2 linked regions of the Ovis aries genome follow. The protein of the gene in region 1 interacts with the protein of each later gene in a pairwise test. Links are inferred from orthologs where the notes say so. Each region holds a gene or a part of one and is shown on either strand. Other genes may lie near its edges.

Region 1 (3,334 bases):
GGTTTCTCCCTGCCCCAGGAGGTGCAAACCCACCAATGGGATAGCAGCCGCAGCCCTTCTGATGTGGTGGCAGCCTGGGACCAGGGAGGAAGCCAGCCTCTTCCCTCAGGGTGACTTCTCGACCCTTCCAGTGTGCTGCATGAGGACTCATTCTGGCTAGTTCCTCCCTCTCCCCAGAAAGTGCCCTGCCCCGGCCCACCTCCATGCCCTCACTCACGCTGTGCCCCTTGCCTGGAACACTCCTCCCACCCCAGTTCTCCGTCCCTGATGACTGACTGCAGGAGTCCCTGAGTGTTCCAGCTACCCTGACTGACCTCTTCCTTCCCAAGCACCTACAACCCTCAGGAGTCTAATCTCACAGCATGCTGATGGGTGGGTGGGGGTCCCTCCCACACCAGGCCTCTGCAGCTTAGGGTTGAGGGGTGATGAGGGAGAGGCCTTACCTGGAAGAGTGTGAAGCCCCGGTAGTACTCAAAGAGAATGCAGCCGATGCTCCAGACATCGCAGGGCTGTGCCCAGCCCAGCTCTGAAAGCCAAGATGGGGTGGGCTATGAGACTCAGCTCTGTGCTCCCAGCCTAGAGGTCACAGGGCAGCTACCACGCTGTCTGGCAAGACTCCTGGCCCAAACCCAGTAGAAGTCCCTTTCTTAAGACCAAGTCAACAACCACAGAGACTCAAGCCATGGCTCCAGGTGTGGACAAGCACCACACTCCCTGTTTTCATAGCTTGCCAAACAGTGCCTGCTCTATTGGGCTCGGAGCTGCAGTCACTCACCAAGGATCACCTCAGGTGGACGATAGTGACGGGTGGCCACGATGGTCGTGTGATGCTCATGGTCAAAGGTAGCACTGCCGAAGTCAGCCACTCGGATGCTGGTGTTCTTCACTGACTTCTCCTCACAGCTCTGAAGGGCAGGGAAGGGGAGCCAGGTCAGAAGTCTGCACTGGTAGGTAACCGACTCCTAGAACAGGGCCTCAATCTTTACCCCACCAATAAATACCTTGTGCTCATTGTAGAGGGTTTCAAACTCAGAATTCACAAATAGGATGTTCTCTGGCTTCAAGTCTGTGTGGGTCAGTTGGTTCTCATGTAGAACTGGGGGAGCAGGAGAGGAGGGAAGCAGACACTGAAAACCTGGGCTTCCTCTCTGGCCCGCCTGCCAGCGCTAGGCCAGCTCCCTCCTCCAGAGCCAGCCTGCTGGAGCCCTCAGCCCCTAACCCCAGCAGTGGCACACTGCCTCTGCCAGGGCTTCCCTCTCAAGGGTTCTCTGTACTTATGAACTCAGAGGGTTCTAATTCTTGAGGGGGCAGGGGAGATGCCTTCCATTTAGAAAACCTCCTTCCATCTGTCTGCAGGGGACCAGGTCTCTCACCAAAGCTGCAGGATCAGTCTTGGGGTGGTTCCCTCTCCCAAGCACCTGCTACATAATTTGCAAGGCCCAAGGCAAAATGAAAATGTAGGTCTCCTTATTCAAAAGTTACTTAGAATCTAAAGATAGTAGTAGGAGAGCATTAAACCAAGCACAGGGCTCCCTATGAAACAATGAAGCCAGTCCTGCCTTTCTCCCCTCATCCCCGAGCAGGGGGACGTCTGCCTTTTCCCTCCAACCCTGTCCCACCGATGGTTGTACCCTGCCATTCATCACTTTTTCCATCTGGCACTCGACCCCCCCGACAGTGTAGCCCGTCTCTCTTTACATGGGCCCTCTCTTCACCACAGTGAGCTGCAGCACATGCCAGGCTCTGTGCCAGCGCTGGGTGGCTCACCTGGCTTGGAACGCTCTCCCCAGTCCCGCCATCTATGCAGACCCTGCTAGTCTAGCTCTAGGTCTAGCCACCTTCTCTCCAGTGAGCCTTTCCAACCTGTTTCAACCACTACAAATCCTGCAGCACTGAGCACAGGTACCACCTTAAGAGACTGGCGGACAGACGGGAAATGATGGTGAGACATGGTGTCTGTGTGACAGGATCTGTGGGTGGGATCTACCAGGTCAGTCTGCGACCTCTTCATCTTATGCAGGAAGGTAGGCATGGGGATGGTACGGGGCTAATCCTAGAGCAGCTCTCTCCCTTCTCTTCCGGAGAGCCTGGGGTCAGAGGCCAGCTCCGCAGGCCCCTGGAGGGGACTGCAGCCTCTCCGTCGTCACAGATTCCTACTTGGAGGCCTTTCAACCAAAGGGGCCCTAGTGTCTCGGGCCCAGCAGAACAGTCAGCAATGTGTTGGAGCACCTGATGGGAGGGCAGGGCCACCAGGTGCCTCTGCTGCAGACAGGAGGCTCCCCCTGCTCCACTTGAGGTGGGAACTTACATCTAAGGGCGTGGCAGAGCTGGTAGGCCATGTGCCGGACATGTGGTAGAGGGTAAGGCTGGAAGTTATTCTCCTTTAGGAACTCAAAGGTGTTCTTGCCCAGGAGCTCAAAGGCGATGCACATGTGACCGTGGAAGTTGAACCAGTCAGACATCAAGACGCACAGGCTGGAGAAGGACGGATGGGGCTCAGGGTCTGTGCTGGGGGCTGGCTGCCCACCTGCTTCCTCAGGTGAAGACAGTCCCCACTCCCTCCCAGGATGCTGGGTCACAGACAGGATGCAGATTCACAAAGAGAAAACTATGGGCACAGTCCCTGCTCTCAGAGAGAGATGGCATAACCAGGCCACTCCACAGGACAAGTGCCCTCTGCCGAGCTTCCTGAGTCTGCAGGGCTCAGCACAGTGCTTAGCGGAGGGGAACGCTCCGTGTCTGTGTGCTCCTTCGGATATCTCTGACTACATGAGCACCCTGAACAGTTTTGGGTTTATATCTTGTCTAATGCCCACCACAACCCAGTGAAGCCTCTAATTCACAAATGCAGGGCAAGGAGGCCACCTCAGAACAGAGAGCTGGTTGCAGTGGAGCTTAGACTGAAACCCAGATGTTCCTTCCAGCAAGACTCACTCACCGGACTCCCCTTGCTCTGGCTGTTGGGAGAAGGCATGGTGCCAACCCGGCAAAAGACACTGCTCAGTCCCAGTGGGTCTGGGCCACTGGACCGGACACACACTGACCCCTAGGAAGCTTCCCACCCATTTCCTGCCGACACTCACAACTTGTTCTCTTTGTCCTTCTCCTTGATCTTCTTGAGAACGTTGATTTCTAGCCGGGCGGCCTCCCGGTACTTGCCTACGTTGCGGATGATCTTCAGGGCAACCTGAGACTTCCCTCTGGACCGGGGAAGGAAGCAGCAGTCCTCATGAAAAGGTATGCAGCCCTTCCCCCACCCTCCACCCCAACCCAGCGACTCCTGGCAAATGCTACTTAGGACTCCAGGAACAAGGCTGCCCTGAAGACAGCAGAC
Region 2 (5,156 bases), on another chromosome or scaffold:
CATCCATCCATCCATCCATCCATCCATCCAGTCAACCATCCTCTCATCCATTCATCCAGTCAACCATCTATCCATCCATCCATCCATCCATCCATCCAGTCAACCATCCTTCCATCCAACCATTGATCCATTCAAACTGTTGCCCATGGAAGATCCTTGCCTTGATGATTAGAGGGCAACTGCAAACCTGCTCTAGCTGAACTTTTCTCAGAGGTTTTCCCCATCCTCTACCTCTGGCCAAAGTTTATTCTAGTTTACATCTTCACTGTGGTCCGCAGAAAGGCAGCAACCACCATGAAGCTGGTTGAAAATACAGAATTCTGGACCCCAATCTCTTGAATCAGAGCCATCATTTTAATAAGTTTCTCAGGGGATTTGTGTGCATATCACAGTTTGAGGAACTCTAGGTTCTAGAGTCTAGAACATTTCCTCCAAAATCAGTTAGGAGTTAAAGGAGAGGTCCTAAAGACCAGAGTATGCTCAAGGTAGGAGAGGTCTTCTCTCTTGAAAGTCTTCCCTGGCAGCTTAAAGTAAAGAACAGTAAAGAACAGTAAAGAACACGCCTGCACTGCAGGAGACGAGGGTTTGATCCCTGGCTGGGGAAGATCCCTTGGAGAAGAGAATGGCAACCCACTCCAGTATTCTTGCCTGGAGAATTCCATGGATAGAGGAGCCTGGCAGGTTACAGTCCATGGGGTCACAAAGAATCGGACACAACTGAGTGATTAGCACTTTCACTTTCTTTTCACTTTCAGTGGTATTTATTCCATCCCCATGCTATCCACCACCCCTTTCATTGGCTTTGTTCTCTTGACAAGCCCTTCCAGACCCACACCTCCAACCCTGCCTACCACCCTGCACACCCAGGAGGGCTCACCCAGAGGGTTGAAGGCAGGCAGCACGTTGAAAGTGATGCTCTGCTGTTTTGTGGAAAGCTGGACAGTGACCCTGGAGCTCCTATTGGTGTTCTGGAGCTCCATCTTGGCTGCCAGATTCAGCGTGGACTCACAGTGCTTCATCTGTGCCCAGATTTTGCCAAGGAGTTCATATTGTCTTTTTTCCTGGTCCTGGAATTGCTCAAGGTCCCGGAAGAAGACGACAAGGGTACCATCGGAGTTGCCTCTCAAGACCGTTCTCCGGCCATAGGAGCCGCCCTATCAGCAACAGAGAGGCAGATGTGAAAGTCTGAACCCTCTGGGGTCACTGGGCACCCCAACAGGCAGAGGTATTTCTCAACTCGAGCAGAAGTCCCACACGTCTGGTGTTCATCTGTCCACCCAAAGAGCTGAATCAGGACACCCACAGCAACATTTCCCCCACAAGCCCCAAACAGAAGGCAACTTGGATGACCATCAGCAGGAGAGCAGACACAACGGAATGCACGGCAACAACAAAATGAGAAAACAACAGCTGCACGCAACGACGTGCGCTTCATCGACCGATGCGTCGAAAACAAAGCCCACACGTTAAAGCCGCGCAGCGCACGATGCCTTTTAGACAGGGAGACCAACCTGCTCAGTTTTAGCCCCGAGACGTCCATGTCCCAGAAAACCCTTCAGTCGCAGACAAACCCGGAAGGTTGGTCACTCTATACGAAGTTTAAAAACAGGCAAAACTAATCTATGCTGTTAGAAGTCAGGAGAGTGGTTGGCTGGGGTTGAGGGTAATGACTGGACAAGGGACCCAGGGACTCTTGGGTAGGGGCTGGGAAACTTTTATTTCTTGATCTGGGTATAGGTCACACATGTATGTCTGTGGCAATCCATCAAGCTGTACACAGATCTGTGCACTTGTTGTACATATTTTTTTTACTGAGAAAAAAGTTAACAAATTTGAGAGGTAGGACTGCACAGTGGTTAAGGGTGCACGCTCCCAAATTGTCGCCATTGTTTAGTCACTAGGGAAGCCCCTTTAGTCGCTCAGTCGTATCCAATTCTGCAACCCCACCCACTGTTGCCCATCAGGCTCCTCTGTCCACGGGATTTCCCAGGCAAGAATACTGGAGTGGGCTGCCATTTCCTTCTCCAGGGGATCTTCCTGACCCAGGGATCGAACTCATGCCTCCTGCACCTCAGTGTGGATTCTTTACCATGGAGCCACCAGGGAAGGCCTTCCAAATAGATTACCTGAGCTTAAAATCCCAGGTCGAATACCAACAAATGATAACTTCCCCACGCTTCATTTTCCTTATCTGGGCCAAGACAGGAGACACCATGTAGAGACACCATGTGTCCAGGTGTCTACTCCTAGGGCTAGTGGGTGTGTGTAAGGGCGGAGGCCAGAAAGCACGTGGCTGCGGAGAAGTGCGATTCTGGTGCTGAAGGGCACGGGGGTGGGGCCGGGCATACATAATCCCCTCCCCACCCTAGGGTCCTGGCAGCTTCCCAGCATCATTTCTTTCTCAAAATTCTAGAATCTTCAGCCTCCACCCTAGGGTTTGTGCCAGAGCACCAAACATGTCTAACTGATGAGGCTTCCCATCTCCTCAGTGTTGAGAAATCACAGAACATCCTTGAATAGTTTTATTGAACTCTTGTAGGCCCAGTTTACTCATCTGTAAAATGGGGAGGATAAAAATGACATAAGTAACCACAGCTAATTTACTGCTGCGGCTTTGTACCAAGTTCTTGCCAGAACATTCTGTGTTTAAGCCTCTTAACACTTGGCACTGACTATTATTCCCCTCGCATTTTACACATTCGGACACTGAGGCACAGAGAGGTTAAGCAACCTACCCCGGGTCACACAGCAGTAAGGGGCAGAATCAGCGCTCTCCCAACCTGTACCCCTAAACTCTACACCCCGTTCCATCATGTCACTCAAGTATGGGCTTAGGCAAGGTGATTCTTGCGCGCCCAGGGCCCAGAGCACAGCAGGTGCTCAGCACCACGTCCTTCTGCCTCCTGGGTCCCAGAAGCACTGACTCCAGCCATCTACTCACTTTGGCCACCCCTGTCACGGTGAGGGGCTGGCAGGGTTCCTGCAGGACTGCACAGATGGTGTCCACTGACTGGTCGATGTCTTTCTGACAGTCTTCAGAGGGCCTCAGGTAGTTCTGGATAAACTCCTCCAGTTTCTCAGAAGGCTGTTCATAGAGATGGGACTCCCAGCTGCCCATGGCTCTGACTGGCTGCTGAGATGACAGCTAGTGGCAGAGCGGGAGGCTGAGGAGAATAAGGAACTTCTGTGTGCAGGGGGAGGAGAGGGGAGAAAACCGAAACTCACACCAGGGGAAAAGGAAACTCAGAGTCTTCTGGCCCAACCCAGGCCTCGCCCCCAGCCTGTCTGCTGCTCTCAAGGGAGGCTTGTAGTTAAAAACATGGCCCCTTGAGCTGGATTATGAGGGCTTGATATGGGTTAGGTCTGTGTCTTTGAGCACACTGCCAGCCCTTTTTGTACCTTGATCTCCCCATCTGTAAAATGGGGGTAACAGTGGTACCTATCTCACAGGCTTAATACAAAGATTAAAATACTTGCAAAGTGCTTAGAACAGGACCTGGTATACGGCTAGTGCTGTAAAGTGTTTGTAAAGCAAGTAATTTCATAGGGGGCCAGAGGTGGTTTTTTTTTTTTTTAATAATTGAAGTATAGCTGATTTAAAATATTGTGTTAGTTTTCAGGAGTTCAGCAAACTGATTCAGTTATATTTACATATATATATATATAATGTAAAAAATCATTTTCCCAGAGGTCATCTTTTGAGGCTCCTTCCTCTTTCCCCTGTTCCCAATGGTTTGGGAATTCAGAGTTGATGATAACAGTGAGGAGAAGAGACCAGAGAGGGCCCTGACTTGTTTCGGGACACACAGCAAGGCAAGGGTTCAGCCACTTGGAATTTAGTTCTGCCCCTGAGCAAACCCAGGTCCCCAGAGGCCTGCTTCTGGGTGCCCAGTCCCTCAGCACACACATGAACACCTGCCAGGTTTCATCGAGCATTTAACCACCCCCAGCAAGGAAGGAAAACATGCCCAGGAGCACACAGGCCAGGGAGGAGACAGGAGTCCAACTCTTGTGCCCAGGACCATGAGAACGAAACTCCTGGGCAGCTCCCACTGGCTCCCTCTGTAACGCAGAAGGCAAACATCTCCAAGGTGGGACAGGAACAGACCCCCTTTCTCTGCTGTGATGATTGATTTTGTTATTATTATCTTTCAAATGGCGATTACTTATCTGTAGTTTTTGGCTGCGCTGGGTCTTCATTGCTGTCAGCGGGCATTTTATAGGTGCAGCGAGTGGAGGCTACTCTCCAGCCGGGGTACACGGGCTTCTTATTACCGTGACTTCTCTTGCTGCAGAGTTCGGGCTCCAGGGTATGCAGGCTCAGCAGTCATGGCACACAGGGCTTAGTTGTTCTGTGGCATGTGGGTTGAACTTCTGTCCTCTGTGGCATGTGACCAGAGGTTGAACTTCTGTCCTCTGTATCGGCAGGCAGATTCTTAACCACTGGGCCACCAGGAAAGTCCTGTGATGACTAGTTTCGTATGTCAACTTGACTATGACCAAGGTACTCAGATATTTGGTCAAACATGCTTCTAGAATTTTTTTTTTTTTTTTTGCAATATACTTTTAAGATGAGATCACCATTTGTAAACTTTGGGGAAAGCAGATTATTCACTCTAATGTGGATGGGCCTCATCCAATCAGGTGAAGGGATGAAAAGAAAAAGGTCTGATCTCTCCCTGAGGAGGAGGCAATTCCACAAGCAGATACTTCTTTCTGTTTCCAGCTATCCTGGCCACCCTACCCTGCAGAATTTGGACTCACTGGCCCCTTCAATGGCACAGCCAATTCCTTAAAACAAATTTTTCCCTAAATCTAGATTTATAAAACCAATTGGTTCTATTAACCTCAAAAGTAAAGCAACGATTGTTTTACCAACAAAATGGGTTTGTTTGGGAACAGTAAAGAATTTCAATTTAGGACAAGCAGGCAATAGCAAAAAGCCATAGGCAAGTCCAGCCAAGGAAGAAGAGGAATATTGCATTATAGAGAAAAAAGAGGAAGTTAGGAGGGGTTGTTTGAACACATGTCTGTTGGAGGAAAGCAAGAATTCAGGGTGATGATGGGTTCTCGCTGGCTCAGTTGCCAGGGGAGTTGGCTTCCTCCAGGAGCCATGCAGTGTACATCTTTCCGGTCCTGGCCCATCACTGACGATT

Evidence for each region. The genes of interacting proteins can lie anywhere in the genome.
Region 2: the proteins of CLK3 (region 1) and 2'-5'-oligoadenylate synthase 2 interact in binary tests that used the Homo sapiens proteins (3 or more experiments, as listed by UniProt). The two-hybrid records come from large-scale screens. The link is inferred for Ovis aries from reciprocal best matches to the Homo sapiens genes CLK3 and OAS2.

What each region holds. Positions count from the first base shown.
Region 1 is NC_056071.1:31,714,131-31,717,464, forward strand, and holds part of CLK3 (dual specificity protein kinase CLK3), read right to left. Parts: intron 3,201-3,334; coding exon 3,084-3,200; intron 2,476-3,083; coding exon 2,309-2,475; intron 1,097-2,308; coding exon 1,002-1,096; intron 906-1,001; coding exon 776-905; intron 527-775; coding exon 444-526; intron 1-443. UniProt on the Homo sapiens protein: Dual specificity kinase acting on both serine/threonine and tyrosine-containing substrates. Phosphorylates serine- and arginine-rich (SR) proteins of the spliceosomal complex.
Region 2 is NC_056070.1:61,444,661-61,449,816, forward strand, and holds the start of 2'-5'-oligoadenylate synthase 2, read right to left. Parts: upstream 3,151-5,156; 5' UTR 3,119-3,150; coding exon 2,942-3,118; intron 1,589-2,941; exon of another isoform or gene 1,512-1,588; intron 1,155-1,511; coding exon 878-1,154; intron 1-877.